Linked DNA regions of Neodiprion lecontei. The protein of the gene in region 1 purifies or fractionates together with the protein of each later gene. This does not show direct contact. Links are inferred from orthologs where the notes say so. Each region holds a gene or a part of one and is shown in the gene's direction. Other genes may lie near its edges.

The links.
Region 2: the proteins of DNA-directed RNA polymerases I, II, and III subunit RPABC5 (region 1) and probable DNA-directed RNA polymerase III subunit RPC6 purify together in Homo sapiens (co-immunoprecipitation; 3 studies listed by BioGRID and IntAct, with this or other methods). This does not show direct contact. The link is inferred for Neodiprion lecontei from reciprocal best matches to the Homo sapiens genes POLR2L and POLR3F.
Region 3: the proteins of DNA-directed RNA polymerases I, II, and III subunit RPABC5 (region 1) and DNA-directed RNA polymerase III subunit RPC10 purify together in Homo sapiens (affinity purification with mass spectrometry; 3 studies listed by BioGRID and IntAct, with this or other methods). This does not show direct contact. The link is inferred for Neodiprion lecontei from reciprocal best matches to the Homo sapiens genes POLR2L and POLR3K.

Annotation. Positions count from the first base shown.
Region 1 is NC_060261.1:2,107,863-2,115,560, forward strand, and holds DNA-directed RNA polymerases I, II, and III subunit RPABC5, read left to right. Parts: upstream 1-3,266; 5' UTR 3,267-3,373; coding exon 3,374-3,468; intron 3,469-3,698; coding exon 3,699-3,807; 3' UTR 3,808-4,942; downstream 4,943-7,698. Other genes in the region: proton-coupled amino acid transporter-like protein pathetic, read right to left, coding at 5,494-5,726, 6,452-6,618, 6,713-6,896, 7,417-7,698. UniProt on the Homo sapiens protein: DNA-dependent RNA polymerase catalyzes the transcription of DNA into RNA using the four ribonucleoside triphosphates as substrates.
Region 2 is NC_060266.1:591,098-598,946, forward strand, and holds probable DNA-directed RNA polymerase III subunit RPC6, read left to right. Parts: upstream 1-3,694; 5' UTR 3,695-3,777; coding exon 3,778-3,863; intron 3,864-4,084; coding exon 4,085-4,703; intron 4,704-4,790; coding exon 4,791-4,952; intron 4,953-5,033; coding exon 5,034-5,108; 3' UTR 5,109-5,168; downstream 5,169-7,849. Other genes in the region: 26S proteasome regulatory subunit 4, read left to right, coding at 527-529, 791-1,352, 1,430-1,816, 1,965-2,200, 2,275-2,409; uncharacterized protein LOC107216885, read right to left, coding at 2,547-2,921, 2,997-3,077; bromodomain adjacent to zinc finger domain protein 1A, read left to right, coding at 5,999-6,111, 6,208-6,346, 6,767-6,981, 7,081-7,294, 7,622-7,849. UniProt on the Homo sapiens protein: DNA-dependent RNA polymerase catalyzes the transcription of DNA into RNA using the four ribonucleoside triphosphates as substrates.
Region 3 is NC_060260.1:9,403,737-9,410,484, reverse strand, and holds DNA-directed RNA polymerase III subunit RPC10, read left to right. Parts: upstream 1-3,463; 5' UTR 3,464-3,610; intron 3,611-3,733; 5' UTR 3,734-3,740; coding exon 3,741-4,067; downstream 4,068-6,748. Other genes in the region: yrdC domain-containing protein, mitochondrial, read left to right, coding at 4,314-5,069. UniProt on the Homo sapiens protein: Core component of RNA polymerase III (Pol III) which synthesizes small non-coding RNAs using the four ribonucleoside triphosphates as substrates. Can mediate Pol I proofreading of the nascent RNA transcript.

The DNA of each region.
Region 1 (7,698 bases):
AATCAGATCCTGCACAGTCGTATGCTCGTAGAGCCAAGCTGCGCATAAAGCGCATTGAACATACCTGACGCAAAGTACGGAAGCTGTCAAGCCGTCAATCGTTAACTCAGGATTTGTGGAGGAAAGCATCACGAAGGAAACCAATGGAACGAGTTAGGTCACAGTTGTGCAGACGCGTTCGGTCTTAACCAACCGATTGAGGTATCCGGAACGTTATAAGTAGTTAGACATTAATTGTTACGTCTAACTACTTAGAAAATTATAACGGTGGTGAAAAATCGTGGAACTGAATTCTTCGAATATGATATCGCGGTGAGGCTCTTCAGCTAGGTTGAGAGAAAATGAGAAGTAGTTAGACATTATCACGTCTAACTACCTACCAAATTATACGGGCGATGAAAATTCTTGGAATTGAATTCCTCGAATACGATATGGCGGTGAAGCTCCGCGGCCGGTTTGAGTTTGAGGGATACCCGAAAAGTGCGGATGGATCGAAGGGATATACGCGCCGACGGCGCCCGCGAGCACGAATATTTAGGGCTTAATGTTATGCGGTATCTACTGGCGCACTCTGTACACGTGGGCACACGTATGTAACCAACACACGACACGGGGTGGGTAATACGGAGCTTCCAAGTCAAGCTACGCGCTGACGCGTATTTATGTGAAACAATATTTGTGTTGGCTTCAAAAAGCGGACCACTATATCTCCGTCTCGAAGACGGCCCCCGTCTTCGCCCGGCTCGTTGGTTGAGCCCAGCCGCTCGAATGGCGATCCTGCGAGATTATACTTGACCCTTGAAAATCTGAAAGATATCAAGACCGCTTCGTACCAATCAAAATGCGCCCAAATCACAATGGGCTACTTCTTGGAATGCTCGAGCAATCTTGGAAGCCCATAATGGTACCTATATGCAGTTGCTTAGAGATTGGAGCGGTAATCTTGCAATTCTGCAACCATGACGAAGCTTTCGGACGTGAAAGTGCTTTCCTCCAGCTTTGGTGATGATGGTTGGTAAAGAGCGTATGGCCGATTTATCGAACACACATTGCGAAAGCACAAACAACCGCAGGGTCTTCGGCCGGTATAAGGCACCCTATAAGTATAATACTTGAGCTTTCTAAGTTGCAACGTCGTCGTCGCGAGGAAGACGGTTGCGGAGTCGGTGAGACGGCGGCGGCGGCGGCGGCGGCGGCGGCAATCCATTAGGTAGGAATCCCCTGGCTCCCGGCAGACACACCCTGACGCTATCAAAACACGCCTTAAAACTTATATTCCATCGGATGTGCGCCGGTGGTTGTGAGAAAGCCGCGTACGTGAGATAGAATAACAGAACCGTTGCTGAGAGAGGGAGAGTGTGCGTAGCGTAGTTAGCAGCGCTGCAGAGCCCGCGATGTTCCCTGTACTTGGGGGAACCGTCCGTAGGGACGTTGACGCGTATGACTACCGCGTTATAATTATTGCCTTTTCCCACCGAGCCATCAACTCTCTGGGTATACTGTTCAACATTTTTGTCGCTGCACATTTCACATGCTGGAGGATGGTTCGTTAAGGGGTTATAACCAGTCGCAGGAGGCCGGAAAGGAGCGATTTTTCAAGGATTTTGCATCAAGAGACATTTCAATTTTGTTAACATACAAATTTATATACATATTGGGGTAACGTTGAAATTCATTCTGATATTTTTTATTGGTAAACGTAATGATTTTTAAAGCTGCTATAGCCGATCCGCGAGAGCAGCACGTAAAAATGGTGTCTTTCGACGAGCAAGATATCTCTGGACTGAATCGTCGGAAATGAAAAAACAAAAAAGACTCAGTTAATATAAGGTATTATCTAGTCTTTGATCGGAGGAATAAACAAAATATTAATTGCTAACAACACGGCGGCTTCTCAAACAAATAACAAATGCATTTTCCATAAAAAATTTCGCCTTAATTTCTTCATAAGATGGCAAATATTTATTAACGAGAAAAGGCTTCGATTAAAGACTGAAAGATATATTCACAAAGCTTGTGTAAAAATTTGAGACCGATCTTATCAGCCGTTTTCGAGAAACCTTGCTCACCGACTTTGAAAACATAGTTTTGAGAAAAAGGCGTTCATAGTTTCAAAAGCACTTTCAAACGCTCCGAGACGCCTTTGCAAACGTGCGCGTAACATCGAGAATATTTCTCGGGTCGACAAGAAATTTTCTGTGTATACACTTGAATATGTCTACATTACGAAATTGAAATTTTAAAAAATCGATTTTTGATAAATCTCGACTAGGTATAACCCCTTAATTACTCTAGCCTGCGGGACAACGTGCCCGTAAGCGACGGTCATCGGAACGGCTTGAATTACGATGAGAACTAGGTACGGGAAATTCCTAGGGTTTAGTGGGTGCAGAGGCGGTAGCTCGCTCAAAAAATAACCCATTGGTATATGGCAGTCTAGCCGCAGCAGAGCAACCGAGCCTGATGTATAATACGGTGAATGTGTGGTATACTGGAATTCCCCGCAGTGCCAGATGTTTATAAATCGAGCTCGAGTCTCAAATTGTTTAATATAACCCGCATAGTTACAGTCTTCCGTTGTTATTACAACGGCCGAGCGGGGGATGTAAAAGAAGTGTCAATTTATGGTAAACAATTCCGCCTAGTGGAGGAATCGTTAAATTGAGATATCACGCGCACATGATATACTGCAGATATGGCTGCTCCGAAAGTATCGAACTTTTTTTCATAATTATTCACGACATTCTATCCTGAGCGTTCTATTATATATTCGTTTAACGAATAATTGCCTCTTTATGGAATATCATGCATTCACGTTACCAGATTATTCAAAAAAAAAAATAAAAATGTTTCATAAAAATGAACTTCCCACGAGACATTAATGTGAAATTTTGAGCTAGAACGCCATTACAAAGGTCTTCTAAGTCACATAATCTTAAATTCATTTTTATGCTTAAATACACGTAACTTTCGAATTACCAATTTAATGAAGTTCAAAGTCATTCAAAAACTAGGTTTCAAATACGGGCCGGTTCCATATTCAAATTCGGATTTCATCACGAATGCCGGTCAAAGAATTGAGATTGATTGCGTGGTTTCGCCATCTTGCGTAAAAATTATAAGACTTGATTTACCGACGGGTAACGGAATCACAGATCAGTTCATCCAGGAGCGAAGGTAAATCGTCCAATTGGTAACTCTTGTTCTGACGTACCGACTGATACCGTCAACATTGTCACTCATAGAGCTGTACAGTTTATGGTCCAGAGCGTGGTCCAGAGCTGAAACAAAATCGCACGAGGTTAAGCAGCGTGGAGTCAAGTGTGGTTTCAATTTTTTGATTTATCGTTTCCGCGAGGAATATTATTGCAGAATGATCATTCCAGTGCGTTGTTTCACCTGCGGTAAAGTGATTGGCAACAAATGGGAAGCTTATCTTGGCTTACTGCAAGCAGAATATACGGAAGGGTAAGGACGCAACTTGCGAGCACGAACATAACCTATTCTATTCGGTGTCGAAAACATCAACAATAAATTTATCCTTAGAACTTGAATGAAAATTGTTCAACGTCTTTCGATACTCAATATATATGCAATACTACAATTTCGAATCGCCAAGTAGAAAATAATTAAAATATTCTTTCGGTAAATTCTCAATTAGAGTATCCAAACTCAGAACTGCCTTCAATTTTTTTCAGTGATGCCTTGGATGCCCTCGGCCTGAAGAGATACTGTTGCCGTCGCATGCTGCTTGGACACGTCGATCTTATTGAAAAATTATTGAATTATGCTCCGTTGGAAAAGTAACACATAGGAAATATTTGGGACAATGATTATTACAAAAGACAGTATAACTTTGTACAAGAATTCGGTTCACCTCTTGTCCATCGAGAAAGGTGGAAAGTATTCCATTGAACAAAATGATCACGAATGCCAGAATCGAATTCATTGCAAATAAAAAACATGCGAGGTTATTGAAAACAGGTCCTTTTTTTTGTTTTATTGAAAAAAAAATTGCTCAGCTTACATATACTTTGAATCGGTTACAATTGGTTATACCGGTCGTTTCTTCGAGTATCAACTATTCAAATATCGTAAAACATTCTTAGTTGTAACATCTTCATACATATAGTTTTCTATTTAAAGAAGAAATAGATCTTCATTCAATTTTGTAATCCGGATTTGTTAGAAGACTAATCAGTTGATTCGTATAAGTTGTAAATAATTATCAAACTATGATGCAGAAATAACAGTAATAGACTTCTAACGTATAGGGATTATTTTAGAAATAGACACCAAAAATATGACTTGGTATTGAATCAATTCAAAACTTTACAATTTATAAAAATTCCATGTATTGCTAACGCGAGAAATTTATTTATTGGTTTTTTCTATTTTCTTCTTTTTTTAAAAAATAACAAACGCTTCAATAACCTTATTATACTTTCTAATCCATAAAGGTATTTTCACATTTTCTCCCCCCCCCCCCTACCTCCTCGGTAAAATATCAAGACGATTTTGGCCTTAATTCATTCAGAAACAACTAGAAACTAAACAAAGCATAATTGTTTGTTTATTATCTAACAATATTGCAATTTTTATACTAAATCGCCGTTCGCGTTCTGCGAACTCGATTGTAGAAGATCGTATCTTGATTATTTAAAAAATAACTGCTTGAATGAAGTTCGTACAAAAACTCTTGAGTCTTAGGATTGTCTCTTCTATTTTCCTTGCACAACCTCGCATTAGTACCGACAATATTATTCATCTAATTGTCAATGATTTACCTTCTATTTAATTTTCATCCCCTGTTTTTCGCCTAATGATAATAATTTATTTACTCAACTTCCTAATACAAAAATAGATGAAATCTCTAATCTAATGATTCATTTAGAATTATTCGCATAACAGATCGTGTATGATCGAACAGTCCTAGTACCTATCACGGGTGAAAAAAATACTATATTTCATTATTATGATATACAAAAATTTTTTCCTATGGGTAATCTATTCCTTCGACTTTGATGTGATTGTAATGATGATGCGATGGTCTGTAGATGATGAGGCAAATATGGGGGCTGTCTTAGATAAATTTATCTAAGAATAATTGTTTTTTGTTTTTCAATAGGATTTGAAAAAAGAGCTTGAAATTCTCATTAATTGCGCGTTTACATTTAACGGTAGAGTTTGTTGACGAATAATTGATATTAAATATTAATCTTTTTCCGCCCCAATTTCATGTTTGCATAATAGATGACAAAAAAAAAAATGTTACGATTTCACTCAACGATTCGTTTACCGCCGACAAGCAAGTGTGCACAGTGTGAAAGAGCTTGAAAAATAGCGATAGTAGAATAGTGGAAAATAAATTTTACGAACTGTTATCAAAAACACGTGTAACATATTCGTAGCAAAATTATGAACAGTTAACAAAGTGTAAATCGAGGCAAGGCGTCGTCGCATAATTCAATTAAACAGTTATACGGATATGATTTACTTGAAGATGTCTAGTATGGCAGTGTAAGTTCCAAAGAGTAAAACCACCAGACCAAAAGAAGCCACGAGGATAGTTTTAACAATCAACCAATACCCTCGGCCAAATCCTTCGTCCCATCGAACAATCAGTTCGACGATTGGTGGCATGATAAGCCCCAGTATGGAGAAACACAGGGCGCCGATCAGTCCGACAAACGGCATTATCTTCGGTACTGCGACGGCCACTAATACTGAAATTAACAACGGTGGCGTGAGGCATGTATATAGGGCATTCCATGTCAAATTAGCAGCCCATGTACCCTACCTGATTCGATTCTGATCATGTTTTAGTATGATGTTCTTGTACCAATTCAAAACGATCTCAAGTTTTTTTTTTTTATTAGATTTTCTCTAGCCATTGGTGAAATTTATACAAAATTGCAAGCCATTTTTAAAAATCTTCGAAAATTCACACTGATCCTATGATTTGAAATGTGATTTTTAAGTAGCACACGATAATGGGATCTCAATATTTACTAAGTTTTAAGTTTTTCCATGTCGGATCCCCCCCCGCCTCGATCTATAAATAATTAGATTGCCGTATCACATTATTTTCATGATTCCGTGATCTATTTCGATTGGGGAATGGAGAAACTAAAAACTTACGAAAGAATAGTAAATACCGAGTTTCCATTATGGTGTGGTGCTTAAAAATTACATTTTCAGATTTAAAAAAAAAACGGAATTTTCGGAATTGATTTTTAAATTTTTTGAAAATTTCAGCGGTGGCTAAAAAAAATTTGAGAAAAATTCCGAGACCTTTTTGGGTCACTGTGAACATCGTACTAAAAAATGATTGAAACTGAAGATGATGAGGTATATATTGGCGGCTAATTTGACGTGGAATGCCCCATATGCAATCAATCGATTTAGAACGCCGAACAATGACGTAACGCTTAATTATTTGCACACTAACCAGCAGCCATTGCTAATCCTGTGCGAAGAAGGTAGTTTGCGATTTGCGGTTTCTTAAGGAAGCGTTCCTTTATACTGTTCCACGCGATTTCCAAGCACACGTAGAACTGCAGTCCGAATGTGCAGTAAACCGCGAGGGCGATCAGAACTTTGACAACTTGAGCAAGGCTGAAAATATACCCGATTATAAGTTATAATGATCAGCTCGACAGGTCAAATCGAATTCGAGAAGGCGATGAAACGGAGTGTTGAAAATCCTTACATGTCCTCTGGATTCAAATTCGTTATGATGTTTTCCTTGGTTCCATCTCTGTACGCTGCATACCCCATAAAACCGATCACCATGTATATCAGAGTTACGGCTGACATTCCCTGGTTCATAACTCCGCAAATACCGATGAATTGCTGGGGCGTTTTCATGTTGTTCTCAAGCGGCATTACAACACCTGAAATCATTAGTGTAGGTATACCGTACAGTATATATCATATTACATACTACACTACATTATACCCGGGACAATCTCTTGAAACTTGAAAATCAACCGCGCATGCGCGAGTTTTATCGGCTGTTCGTGCAGGCTGGCCATCCCGAGTTTCAGCCATCAAACTGTTTCTGGCGGCGATGTAGTTTATACGAATTTTCGAGGTTATAATCTCAAATAATTGAGGCAGTGACTCGGAAAGGTTTGCGAAGCTTTTGTTATTGGGTCGGAAAGCTGATTCTTCGAAGAACGGTCGGAACTTAATGCTTACGCTCTTTGAAAATTCAAACGTACACATTTTGTGTACGTTGGCCCGCCTGCATCGCAAACAAGAATATCGCTGCGGGAAGATTTCGCCGACCAATGAGATCGAATTATTTGGCGCATGCGCGGTTCATTTTCAAGTCTCAAGAGATCGTTCCGGTATATATATATAATACAGATTCTTTCGTAGATGTAAGTATGCGAATGAATTTTTTCTCACCTATAGCTTCTATCGCGAATATGGAGATACTGAAGAACGCCGGTAGAGTCGATACCGTCTCCGTAACCATATGTACCTCCGATGGCGGGTGCATGTTCATGACGAAGTAATAGAACGTTATCCCGAGACCCACCACCATGAAGGCGTTCGCCACCATGGAAACCGGCGCTAGGTACTTGAGGTTTGGTACCCAACTAAGTAGGACGAACGGCACTAGCAATATTGCTATCATCCCACGCTCCGCAAGTCCCTCACCCATGTGTACCGCTATAACTTGGTTTA
Region 2 (7,849 bases), on another chromosome or scaffold:
GGACGACAAATATGTAGTGTACTTGCAGGGTAAGGAAATAAGGCTTCTTCAATGAATATTTACGTATTCTAGTCAGGTCTTGATTTTCTTACCGCATACAGTTTACACTTGATCGAGAAAATGAACGCAAATTTCGTGCGAGTAGTTCGATTGTTTTAGGTTATGACAGGAAACTTACCTGACAGCTGCCACTTTTGAAAATACAGTGAAATCTTGTCACGAAAAATCTTACGAAACGGCTTCGAGAGAATCCTCAGGGCCGGTTAGTACATAATTTTCTTAATAAATGAGGAAACACTAAGAATGATGTTGGAATCTCCCACACCCGTCACTTGAGGCCACGTCACTTTGAAGAACGCGTACGCAGGCAAACTCTCGGGCAGATCAATCGTTCTCTCTGGTTGTAACTAGAATTTTAGCCTCTGAGAGTTGGCCGTCCGATTTCTCTGTCATACGACTGCTTCGCCTATGTTCATCGGTCTCGTTGATGACTTCGTGATTTCGTGTTTGTCAGTTGCCGAGATAAATGGTTCGTACCTAACGTTTGTTTAATTTTCATAGGTCTCAACGCAAACCCAAAACCAAGTTTCTAAATTAAGTAATCAATCGTAACTCTGCGTCGTTGTATTTTTCGGATTTTTGTCAAAATTTCGTTTAATACGAGGGAGACGATATTTCGGAGGTTGGCTTTGACACAGAGTTGTTGGAAATACCTTATTCCAAATTCTTGGGTCTATACGACATACGTGACCGGAATGTAAAACCAGGTGTCTTTTTGCTCTAAAATTAGGGTCAGAATCAGTCGGGAACAGGAGGTACGGGAGGGGACAAGAAGGATGACAAAGACAAGAAGAAGAAGTACGAGCCCCCAATTCCTACGCGCGTAGGAAAGAAGAAACGACGAACCAAGGGACCGGACGCTGCGACAAAATTGCCCCAAGTCACGCCCCACACCAGGTGTCGCCTGAAGCTCTTGAAGTATGAAAGAATCAAGGATTACTTGTTGATGGAGGAGGAGTTCATTAGAAATCAGGAGCGACTTAAGCCGCAGGAAGAGAAAAATGAAGAGGAGAGATCCAAGGTCGACGATCTTAGAGGAACGCCGATGTCGGTTGGGACATTGGAGGAAATAATTGACGACAATCACGCCATTGTTTCTACATCTGTAGGGTCCGAGCATTACGTGTCGATTTTGTCATTCGTTGACAAAGATCAGCTGGAGCCAGGATGTTCTGTTTTATTGAATCACAAGGTGCACGCCGTTGTTGGCGTCCTTGGCGATGACACGGATCCGATGGTAACAGTGATGAAGCTCGAGAAAGCCCCGCAAGAAACATACGCCGATATCGGAGGTGAGCTTTTGTATTTTTCAAGCGACGTATCATATATCTTCTCAGAAGCATGCACTGACATCATATTTCTTTCCCAGGTTTGGATACACAAATTCAGGAAATCAAAGAGTCGGTCGAATTGCCCCTCACTCATCCGGAATATTACGAAGAGATGGGAATCAAGCCCCCCAAGGGTGTTATACTCTACGGTTTACCGGGAACGGGTAAAACTCTTCTGGCCAAAGCAGTGGCCAATCAGACATCTGCGACTTTCCTGCGTGTTGTTGGTTCAGAATTGATCCAGAAGTATCTAGGGGATGGCCCGAAACTTGTCAGAGAGCTATTCAGAGTTGCTGAGGAACATGCTCCTTCTATCGTATTCATAGATGAAATTGACGCTGTTGGTACAAAACGATATGACAGCAACAGTGGAGGCGAAAGAGAAATCCAGCGTACTATGCTGGAGCTACTAAACCAACTTGACGGTGAGTAAAAGATTTTGTCTCCATACTGACAGAGAGTCAGTAAAATAACTATTTGTATCTTCAAGTGCTTGATGATGTGCTGATGTTTTACCGCTTATCGGCACTATGTGCAAAAGTGCTAATGTGAATCAATTATTCAAATGGACAGGCTTTGACAGTCGTGGAGATGTCAAAGTAGTGATGGCAACTAATAGAATCGAAACTTTGGATCCGGCACTAATTCGACCCGGACGTATCGATAGAAAGATCGAGTTTCCCCTGCCAGATGAAAAAACCAAGAGGAGAATCTTTAGCATTCACACAAGTAGAATGACATTGGCACCAGATGTAAACCTGGCAGATCTCATCATGGCTAAAGATGACCTATCCGGAGCTGACATAAAGGTGATTATTTTGCAGTAAAAGTAAGATTCTTTGTATGGGTAAAAATGGAAAGTTATAGTTAACTTTTCCCATAGGCGATCTGTACCGAAGCTGGTCTCATGGCTTTACGAGAGCGCCGTATGAAGGTAACCAGCGACGACTTCAAGAAATCCAAGGAGAGTGTGTTGTACCGCAAGAAGGAAGGATCGCCTGAAGGATTATATTTATAATTTAATTTTTCGCTTTCCCTTGTATTTTTTATCAATCGTAATAATACGAAATTCGAATAAATAAATTTTCTTTAACTCAACCAACTTTTGTCAACTATTAATTGATTGGGTTAACTTTACAGGTACAGGACATAATGCTACAAAACTGCATTGTTGATACATGTTACGTGTTTGCTTGTCAATTCGTCAAATTGATGCTGCAGCGTCTCTAGTATCCTTGTAGAATATTTCTTCTGACCATTTCTTATATCCTGCAGCGGCATTTTAACGAAATCATCTGTCTTTACTTTGCTCTTCGTACTTTCATTGCAGACGTAGCAAGCCCCTCGCCTTGTCTTTTCAAGTACATCATCTGTAGCTGGTAGAGTTTGAGAGTCGTTACTCATGGCTGTTGCCAGCCCCTTGTATTTTCCTAATACGAAGGCAGTTTCGAAAGCGTCTTTGTAACCGATGTCAAAACCTTCTTGGAAAACTGATTTCTTTCCTTCTTCAACTCCTTCCCTATAACCGGCCTGAGAAAGTTGATGGACTGTGATCAAGTAATGTTGATTGAAATTCTCGTCATTTCACTACCAGAGAATTCTTACCTTAATTGCTCTATTTATAACTCGATTCCAATTTCTTTCGGAAAGCTCTACTGAATGCTCAATTTCCTCACAGTCATCCATTTCAAGGTTATGTTTCCAATCACTTGACAGTGTCACATAAGTCCCGGGATCTGACACAATCTGTACGATTATTCATTCGATGTACGCATATTACATAATTTATCAAAAATTTGCAAACTGTGTAAGCGGGAGTAAAGTAGTAATTGTAGGGTAGTTCCTCTTTGTTATTCGGAAAGAGAAGAGCAAAGTGTTTAATAATCAATTAAATGCAACTGTTGGTACTTGTTTGTACGACATTACGCCTGATTATATGCGTAATTAAAGGTGTTTTATAAAGCGCCCAATTACATGCAACCAAACGTACACCAAGAACGCCTGATAATGCCCAAGCATGCAACATGCATTTCTCCACATAAAATTCAAAATAGTTATGAATTTATTAATTGAACAAAAATGAAAATAGGAATAGCATGGAGCGTCCAACGTGGGCGAAATGTCGAGAGTACTGAGTCTCGGATTTTAGCTATCCCCTCAATTCCTGTAAATGAAATAAATTGATTATCATGAACAAATCGTTCACGTGACTTGTGTATTTTACCAAATCAGTGGCAATAGTAAGCCCTTTTCCTACAGGGGGCGTACGTCACGTGGGTTCGTCGCCGCAGCCACACGTGTTCGTTGCAAGGTTCGATGGCAATTCATTGCATTGCTTCTAATTCGTTCGTAAGATTTTGAGTCAACGATTAATTATCAAATACTAATGGATGTCAGAGGAGAATTCTCTAGTGAGCGAGAAATAAATAGAATTGTCGATGTGGGTGAATCGCCAGAATTTATCGAAGAAAAGTATGATGCTTTAAGATTAATTGTCAAATAACTGTCAAACAGACCGTTAATAACGTAATAAATAGATAACAATTAACTGTCAAATAGACCGGATATAGCAGCAAATGTTTGTTACGCTTTCAAAGCTCCATAGTTTTCTAACTTTGTATAATGAAATTGAAGGGAACCTGTTAAACGAGATTTTTTGTGCAACAGTGTAAGAGGTACAGCTTTGATTTCAGGATTATCTCCTTGGCTCAAGCAAAGCCGAAGGGCATCTCGGATAAAGACATATCTGCTGAGATTCCAGATCTGGCACCGGCGCGGAAGGCGGCAGCGATAAACAAGCTATTGGCTCAGGGATACTTTGACTTATTCAAGCAGGGTGGAACTCTTCTTTACCGTTTGAAAGATCCGAGCAAGGCTAAATCGGTTAAAGGGGCAGACAACGAGGAGAAAGTTGTTTATAATATAATCGAAGAGGCTGGGAACAAGGGGATATGGATACGCGACATCAGGTTCAAATCCAATTTAATGCCGACGCAGCTGAATAAAATTTTAAAAAGTTTGGAAACTAAGAAGTTCATTAAAGCTGTAAAGTCGGTAGCGGCTAGCAAGAAGAAGGTATATATGCTTTACAACTTGGAGCCTGACAGATCTGTGACCGGAGGCGCGTGGTACCAGGATCAAGACTTTGAGGCAGAATTCGTCGATATTCTAAACCAGCAGTGTTACAGATTTTTGGAGCAAAAAAAAGACAGTACAAAAAACTGCAAGGACGGTCCTATCGGTGCAAGAAATATAGCTTTTGCGTCGTCGAAAGAAGTTTGGAAATTCATTTCCGATCTGGGAATAAGCAAGGTACGGCAACGGGATACCTTTCACTAACTTTTTGCTGTTACTCCTCGATAATACTTTGACTAAATAAATGAAACGATAATATTGCAGGTTAAGCTTTCCGTGGAGGATCTGGAAATGATTTTGAATACCCTTATCTACGACGGCAAAGTGGAAAGAACTCTGTCAAGCGACGGAAGCAACTTGTACCGAGCGGTCGAACCGTTGCTCAGCCCTCCAGGATTAATTAGAACACCTTGCGGTGTTTGTCCGGTATATTTAATGTTGTATAATAAACGAGAAGCGACGAATGATCGTTGAGCATCTTTGAGGTATACTGTATTTTGCTTTCAGGTGAGAAAAAACTGCTGCGACGTGGGAGAAATAACGCCAAAGAAATGTCACTACATCAAGGAATGGTTGGAGTGAAGTTTTGACATCGAAATTCGCGTTGAATCTGTGTATAAATATAGATCCATGAAATGTGAATTTCCGTTTATTCTGCTCTTATTCGAGATCCATCTCTGTAAGCCTGTATTGTACAATTAATTCGTAAACTGCACGGTACGCGTAGTGTCAAAGATGAGAAACAAGGTGGTCGATTGTTGCCGAAATTTTATTCTCCATGATTATAGCAGAGCGTTTCTCCCATGGGGACTATACAAGGAGCACGAAGTCCATGCAACCAAATAGCTGCCTGAAGTAAGATGGCACTGATGTTCCGTATGCACCGAAGGTATTGGACGGATTATAAGGCAGTAGTGAAAACTTTCTACAGATCACAACGCAAGATCACCGATCATTCGATCTTACAATTAGCATCCTTGCAGCCAGAGACAATTCGGTACAAAAGGGACGCTGGCGACGCTAGTGGTACAAAAAACAAACCTGACGTGAACGATTACTATGACAAGTTTTGTCAATTCACCCATTGAGTTCGTGCTCCATGGTCTCTCCCGCCAAATGGCCCCCAGGCGTTTCGGTTTCAAGAGGGACGCAGACGCAAAACGCGGTATCCGGTGAGTCTTGCCAGGTGTGCGCGCTTTCCGAGACACCGTTAAATCGCGCCTTGTCATGAATTTGTACATTTTTATTGAAAAATCGCTTATTCGTCATCCCCGAGGATAGTTAGAGGGTTGCGTAGCGTCCTCGGCAAGACGGTTGTGCGTCCAAGTGGAGATTTAAGGGCGACGGGCGGCCGAAGCGGGGCTGCGGGACGTGTATAATCGGCCAGAACGTAGATCACTTGAGATTGATTTCTGCGGAGAGAGTGTTTCGTGACGAATTAACAAGTCGGGTCAGCTCGCGCCAGCGTCGTCATGCCTCTCCTACGCAAGAAGCTTTTTCACAAGTTGCACGTCTCCTCCGATTTCCGCGACGACGACGAGGTTTTCCACTGCGAGGCGACCAACGAGATCTTCAAAGATTACAAGTTAGTGTTTGACAGCTCGATCATTTTCACCTACGGACAAACGCACTCGCCGCATTTTGTTCTGTAACGTCTCCGACGTCTTCTCCTGCTTTTCAGTGAATTCTGCGAAAGAATTATTCTCTGCAACTCACTCGTCTGGTCCTGTAGTATCACAGGAAAGCCGAATTTCACTTACCAAGAGGCATTGCTCAGCGAGGAAAATGCGAGAAAGAGTCTCAAGGAATTTCCCATGGAGGTAATACACATCAAATGCAACATACACATTCTTCTAACATACCTTTGCTTGGGCAGCAACGAACTTCTTCGAAGCCCCAAGATTCCACTTTTTTTCAGTCACGATCGCTAGGTTTTTTTTTTCTCTTACACCCCCACGACTTTACTAAATCCGAGTGTTTCTTTTCGTGTGAACATAGAAGCTTGATAATGATATTCCGATGAAAGATGTGCCTCGAACGGAGGAAATCCAGTCTGTGATTATACACGTTTTACAAATAACTGCAACATAACCTAGTAATTGAAAATTGTTTATCTGACAATTGATCTTGACTTCGCCGCATAATGCATTGTATTGCATTACGTAACCTGGTTTTAGATTATTACCAGAATCTCGATAACAGTGTCTGAGGTTTAAATTACGTTTGGGTCTTGATTGCAGTTGCGAATTCCAATCTTATACCTGGCGAGCAAAACAAACAGGACTTCACTTAATGAAATGGTCGAGGATGTTTATCAATTCGCACGAGACAGATACTTTGTAGGAGAAATGGTCGAGGCCAGTTTTACCGAAGATGCCTGGTGCGAGTGTCACGTTTTACAGGTCATCGAGCCTACCAAGCAACAGATTAATTCTTACGTAAAAGAAAATAACAGGTATTTGTCAAATCTCGGTTTGGGCAATGGCTTGTCGTTCTTGACCTAACTAGGTGTCTTCTTATCTCCTTGTCTCTTCTTTTAACCATTTACACAAAGAAGCATGCTGGAAAGACAGTATCAACCTCCGGCAAAATTATTTCGCTACGAAGTGGAGCAGTTTGATTGCGGAGGTGACACAGACGTTAGCCAGCTCATGATAGTTGAGGCTTCACAGGTGCGACGACGCAAACAACACTACAGCAGAGAAAGGAATAAGATATTCTTGCGACAACTCTGCGAGCAAGGCGAGACTGGCATATGGATGGTCAAGGTAATCTGTTCAATTTGCTTCATTCTGTGTAATATTTGAATTCGCTTGTTGATTTATTTATTACTAGAGAGGTTCAATAGTCGTTGACAGAATATCTATAAACTCAACCAAGAATGTCAAACGACGTTTCATCTAATGCAATGACTTTGTGACAGATATTTGTGAATGAAACCTCGAATTGGCGTCAGATAATTGGAACAAGCTGACTCATAATTCTACAAATAGATTTGTATTAAGCCTGTAGAAAAATTGACTCAGCATCAACTGGACATTACGGTTGGCATACAGTATTTGTTCTGCCTACATGTTTTGGTTTGCTTGTTGCAGGAGAATGTCTTACAAAAGTATGGCATTCATAAGACTCGATTCGATACGATATTTGCTGGACCCATGCCAGACTTTTCTCCACGTCTCAAGAAACCTATCAAGCACAAGCAGGAGTCTATAGCGAAGTTTCTTACTCCAGATATAGCGAAACATAGGGTCTTTGATAAGCCAGATCCCTTGAAGAAAATAAACGACAGCGGAATAATCGGCAAGAAATCAAAGAAACAA
Region 3 (6,748 bases), on another chromosome or scaffold:
TTACGGTCAAAGTCAAACGTTACAAAACAAATTTGGAGTAATATACATTTATATATTACTATATTAATGTTGTAGTCAAAAAAATAAATCATTACTATGCAGTTATTGTAGCAAAGTGAATCATACTAATGTGAAACGTAAAAGATAACCATTGTACTGATAGATATTCTTCATTTTGACGAGACAGACTGATCGGACGTTTAATACAAGTAAGCAATTGATATCATTTTGTGGTACTGCTCTGTGTTACAAATCAAAGTCGTCTAATTTAAATCCTCGAACCTGTATTGTGAATTATAAACTGAGCAATGAAACTTAGTCTGTCAAACTCAGAGTGAATAAATGAATTAAACTGAAAAAATGGATGAAAAAACATGCAGTAAACTTGAACACTGCAATTATTATATAATACTCAGTACAGATGATTCGAGTATATTTTTAATGCTTTATATGTAAATAATACGAGTTAAGAGTCACGCTATACTTTATAACAGAGCAGAAGACGTAATTCTAATGGTGGAAAATCTAATCGAGATCCGGGTGAAAAATCAGCATCCATAATTGAAGATCTCAACGAAAAATGTCTCGTTATAAATTCCATTGTTCATTAATGAAATAGCTTAAGTTTGATTATTATGGTGGAAAGCGCGTTTGCTAAAATCTATTTCCATGCCCTGTAACAAATTTTTTAATAAACATGTTACCTTAATAATATTCGCGTTGCACGAATAATCTCAATAACTATTTATGAAAAGAAAAAAAAAAAGTAAAATTATACTGACAATGGAAATACATTATGATGAAAGTTGTGTCAACATGAACCGTGATAGTGCTGTTCTTATTTCGCATAAAGAAGTCGATACCTTTATCCATATTCTATATAATACTTGAAGACTATTTAATTTAGGATCTTATAGGAAGAGAGTTGTTTTTTTCTATCATGAAGCCATCGTAATATTATTTCAGTAATACTTATGCAACTGTATCATGGGTATAGTTTGAAGTATACCTAAAATGTAATTGTATAATACGTGCATACATTTATAGCTACCAGCGGAATGTTATATTTTCCGTCGTTTGTAAATTCTCTAGTAAAAAATAATTTTGTTTTATTATAAAATTTGATTGAATAAAGTGGCAATGATAATTTTAGAAACTTACGAATTATTGAATATTCCGTCAACTAGTTCATTGCATTTAGGTATTTGCACATGCGTTTATAACGCATTCGTATTACTCTCCAATTTAAACTACGCGGGAATATTAGCACATGCACGAACTTCAGAGTATTTCCGAGTGGCGGCCATCTTGGCACTAATCGGCGAGTCGAACGACAATTGACAGTCGGCGGTAGAATTTCGTCAAGTTCGGACGTGCGCGTCGCGGATGTTAATTCGACTGTGCCTTGTGTTAAATCAAATATATATTTGAGTTTTTCTGTGTCTGCTGAAATAAGAGTCGTAGATAAATGAAATTATTCTTGGTTTACTCGATACGTGCAGCCTAAACTGAAATTCGCATGTTATGAATTCAACCTCTAGTTTTACATGGCCAAAACAAACGACTGCGTTGTTTGGTAGTCGTTGCTTGTTTTATTTTTTCATACTCACGATCGAAAATAAGTTAAGCCGTTAGAATCAACGCAGTGCAGTGATCTAATCTTACGAGCTGAAATTGGTTTTCAATAGTATAATATCATTTCATTCGTTTCGTGCTCCGTGTAATCGGTTCGTGACTATATTCAGTGTCAACTTTTTTTTCACAAATTTATTCGTGCGACTGTTCGAATTTGCTGTTACGTTTTTCGCAATCTAACGTGTAAGTGATAGTAAACCAGACTTGTTGAAGCGTTCGAAACAATTGCAATCAAGCCTCTGACACGTTATAAACAGTGAAATAGTGAAAGTGAAAAAACTGCGAGAATTAACTGTGGATTCGAATCTCTGGAAAACCTGGTATGGTCGTAAATGTGGAGTTGAGCAATGAGGGCTGACATGGTGTAGGCGATTGGCAATGGGTAAGTCTCGCACTTGTTTATGGATGTATGTACGTATGTATGTACGTACGTATGTATGTATGTGTGTATGCATGCATGTATGTATATATGTACATCTCTCAAGTAGAATCGCGTCAGGTCATTCTGTAGTAGGTGTATGAATTTACACGTTATTTTTGAACCACGGATGAAGCTTATTCATTTGAACCACAGTGTATTTAATTCACATCTGCGATTTGAAAGCCAATGCAAATTCGGTACTTGACTACGCGAATCTTGGTATTCAATCAGTAAGTATAATCATCTTTGTTCAAGGTTTGACCTGAAATAAAAACCTGAAGAACACGATAAATATGATTACTCGAGTAGAGCATAGGCGACTTGTATTTGAGTAATCGCTGGTCAAAAACCAAGTCCACTAATTTAAGGGGGGACTGTGGTAAAATTTTGATAATATGGTGTTTTAGATTTTTAAAACAGCTCAAAAAAATGTGATCGAAAATTCCACCTAACAAAATTTAGATTACGGTAGCATGTGTGCAGAAAAAATTTTTTAATCTCCTGCGATGAAAGTCTATGTGCAAGGAACTTTTGGCAGAAAATTTCCAGCGTAACACTCCCAAAAGTTCCTTGCGCATACACTTTCATCGCAGGTGATTAAAAATTTTTCTCTGGACACATACTACCATAATCTAAATTCTGCTGGAAGGAATTTTCGATCACCTTTTGTTTATCTGTTTCAAAAATCAAAAACTTGATATTATCAAAATTTCACCGTATTCTCCCCTTAACAGAGACAAAACATGCACATTTGAAGTTGATAGCCGTTGACTGTATGCCAACTATAATTTTACGAATGTCCGACAGGTTGTCTAATTCGTAAATAACATGCATACAAGTTGTCTGTAAATTGTCTGTCACGATAAAAAATTATTCGAGAGAAACTTATTTGAAAGTTCACTATTTCTAAGATTTTTTTAATCCCATCAATGTATATTTTGCCATAATAAGTTTTTACTTGATCTCTTGGACATTTGAATGGTTGATATGGCTTTGACGAATTAGGCTTACTGATAGGCCATTCTAATATTGCATGACGTTATTTTTGAGGATCCAGCCTCCATTCGAGCGTTACGTATTATTGGAGGACCCCTCAAACATTTTCGTACATGATACTGTCAAGAATCCGTGAAATATAAGTTTGAACAATGATGGCATTGTTTCGAGTGATTTATTTCACAGCTACACAAATAACCATTCTCAATTATTATGTACACAAATCGCGCCCTTTGTGCGTCGTTTTTCACGTATTCTGACAGCGCACATATCCATGAAAATTGTTTTTCATCTTGATAGCCAATATTTTATGTTACCTAATAACTTTCGAATTTAACCGCGCCTTTTGCGCGTGGACTTGATTCCTGACGGTCTTGAAGACGAGTTAAGTCGATCACCTCGTGGATTTCCCCCACGTCCATTATACACACGGCGCCGTCGCATCGTCGCATCACTCAAAGAATTTTCGTTCTGTCGTTTATCACGTGTCTGTTAGTAATCCAGTAATAACATGCAAAAAAAGTGAATAATTTCGCGTGTGGTATACAATTTAAATAGGTAAGTTTAAACATAATTCATTGTTACATCATTTTGCCTTTGTGGACAAATAATTCATCGAATTTCTACAGTCCTAACCTCCCTGTATGCGAACTTCTTATTTCCTAAATTCCCATTTTTCAGATGTGATATGCTGTTATTTTGTCCAACCTGTGGAAATATTTTACATGTCGAATCGGGAGTGGCGAATTACCGATTTGCGTGCAATACCTGCCCTTACATTTTTAATATATCGCAAAGAATAACAAGTCGGACTTATCCAAAGCTCAAGGAAGTAGACGACGTTTTAGGTGGCAGCGCTGCGTGGGAAAACGTCGATGCGACAGATGAACGCTGCCCTAAATGCTCGCATTCTCGGGCCTACTTCATGCAGATACAGACAAGATCTGCCGACGAGCCAATGACCACATTTTACAGATGCTGCAATCCACAGTGTAGTCACAATTGGCGAGATTAATTGTACGTCTTTAATTTCATTGGTTTTTGGAGGCGATAAATATTGAGCAATCACTTCTACAATTCAAATCTGTGTACATCATTATTTTAATGAGAATTTGAGTACAGAACATTTTAATGGTTATTTTACCAGAGATTCTTATACAACTATTCACGTAGAGATAAGACTGAAAATTTTCAGGACTCGTCGATCAATTTACTGTCATAATCAAGAAGAATGTTGAAATTATTTCGCAGCAGACCAACGATGAGTTCTGATGAAGTAAGGAAAAAAACCATGGGTCCAGTGAAACAAACATTGAGGTCGCTCGAGACGCAGCTAAAAAATCTACACCCCGGTATTTCAGGTATCGGGTTTGCTTATGGATCAAAGAATGTGGCTATGGCCGTTCGCTTGCTTCAAGATAAACACGTCATAGCGTTGCCCACGGATACCGTCTATGGCTTGGCAGGATTGGCTCAAAGTAATGAATCTGTTAAAAAGTTGTATGAAATTAAGCAACGAGATCCTTGTAAACCGCTGGCAATTTGTGTCGGTGAAATTGTGGATGTAAAATATTGGGGTATCGTCGATTCTCTGCCAGATGGATTGTTGGAAGCGTTATTTCCTGGACCTGTGACGTTAGTTTTAAAACGTACACCAAAGCTGAACCCGCTATTTAATCCTAATGTGCAAAATGTGGGAATAAGAATTCCCGATGCAAAATTTATCAGAGATATTTCTAAAAGACTGAGGGAGCCGTTGGCTTTAACAAGTGCCAATGAGAGCAACAAGCCGAGCACGATACACCCGGAAGAATTTTCGGCATTGTGGTCGCATTTGGGAGGTGTTTTTTATCCAGATGAAAGAGTCACAGGCAATGGATTGGCAAGAGCTGGGTCTACTGTTGTCGATTTATCTCAGCCTGGCGGATATTCTATAATTCGTAAAGGAAGCGCTGAATTCGAAACTGTTCAAGTTTTGAAAAGCTTCCAGTTAGTAGATTGTGATGATAAACATTGATGAATGTATGAACTCGATTGTGAGAAATAGCGAAAATTACATTTCCATGATACTATGATTTTGTTTTCAGAAATCATTGTTATAAAAAACTACAAATATTTATGTTAAAATTTTTTTCTTTAAAATACAGTCTAAACAAAGAAAATATTCTGTCAATTTGTTTCCTCCAATTCGTGCTGAATAACAAAAGCTGGATAGAAAATGATATCAAATACATAAAAATTTTTTAGAGAATGACAAATATGAAAATCTCTGTGTGCGTTGCAGGCTAATATATTTCCGTAACCGCGTTGTATTGTTTGTCAGTTTGAATTATTGAAACGAATTCCATAAATCAAGATTATTTACTTTCCAATGCATATTGAAACAGGGGTTCGAGAGCTAATCAATTTACAATGCACAAAATGATTACACAGTTGATGATATCGTTTATTTCTGAATAATATAATAATGAACTGGATCGGCTCGGCATTAGCAAAATGTTCGGAGTGTAGTGCATAGGTATTATCATTGTGGTCTTTTATTCAATATTTATTTTGCAGCTTTGAACAATTATGCTAATAGTAAAATCAAGTAGCAACATTTATTCGTAATCGATAACAATAATAATAATCGCGCTTATTTTTGCTCAAATTCATTAGTTATGTGTCAGTTTTAAAACCAGTATGATATTGCTCATTGACTGATTAGGTGTCAGTGTAGATGTCAATGCGATCAGAATATTTTTAAAACTAGCTACATATGTAGGAGCCTTTACAAGATCACTATAGATATTATTAATTAAGCTGCAAATAAACATACACTGGTTCAAGAAAATACAATTATAGTGTCTTTTGTTTGGCATAATATAGTACAGTACAGTTTGAGAAAATCATTGTATCATTTACATTGCTATATCAACTGCTGACGACTCTTTCATTTTTCTTATAGCATTCGCTATTTAAATAATTTATAAACTCGTGAGCTAGCTAAATATTGTCATACTTGACATAGATAATGTACAATCACATTTGCCCAATGTCAAACTTATTTTTTTTAACGACTCATGTCGAGCTATCCGCTATTATTATTCTACAAACTGTATAATTGGGGAATAGAAATTGCAGCAGCAAAAGGCATTGAATTTCTTGTTAACCTTTCAGAAAGTCTTTTAAAGAATTCTTTTTAAGGGACCAGCGAATTTCTGATCGCAAGTCAACAAGATAAACGTGCAAAAATATATTACAATGCAGATTATGAACAGAAAATGCTTAGTACAAATGCTAATATAACCATTTTCGAATATTAACAACGCGCAGTTGGAAATTTATTCAAATATCGAAGGCCCTTTTTGAAAAATTTGGACAGTCTTATTCTATTCTACGACAGACCAATTATCGCCTAAACTAGATTGAAATATAATTACAATTTTATTTCCTTGAACGAACGCTTAGCTTTTGTCCGATTGAGGAAATTACATCGATACATAATTCTTAATTCACAGCCTATTCCAACTCATATTATACATAGCAAAGCCATAATATATGGTTCTGAATTTCAAAATCTCATCATTATTTTATGTAGATTTTTTTTAAAGACATCGTTTACTTGGTGTAAAGCGGTGAACACTGTGACTTACATATTATCTGAGAGATACAAAAAAGGGGAAAAACTATTCTTGTAATCAAGTGATAGTGTCC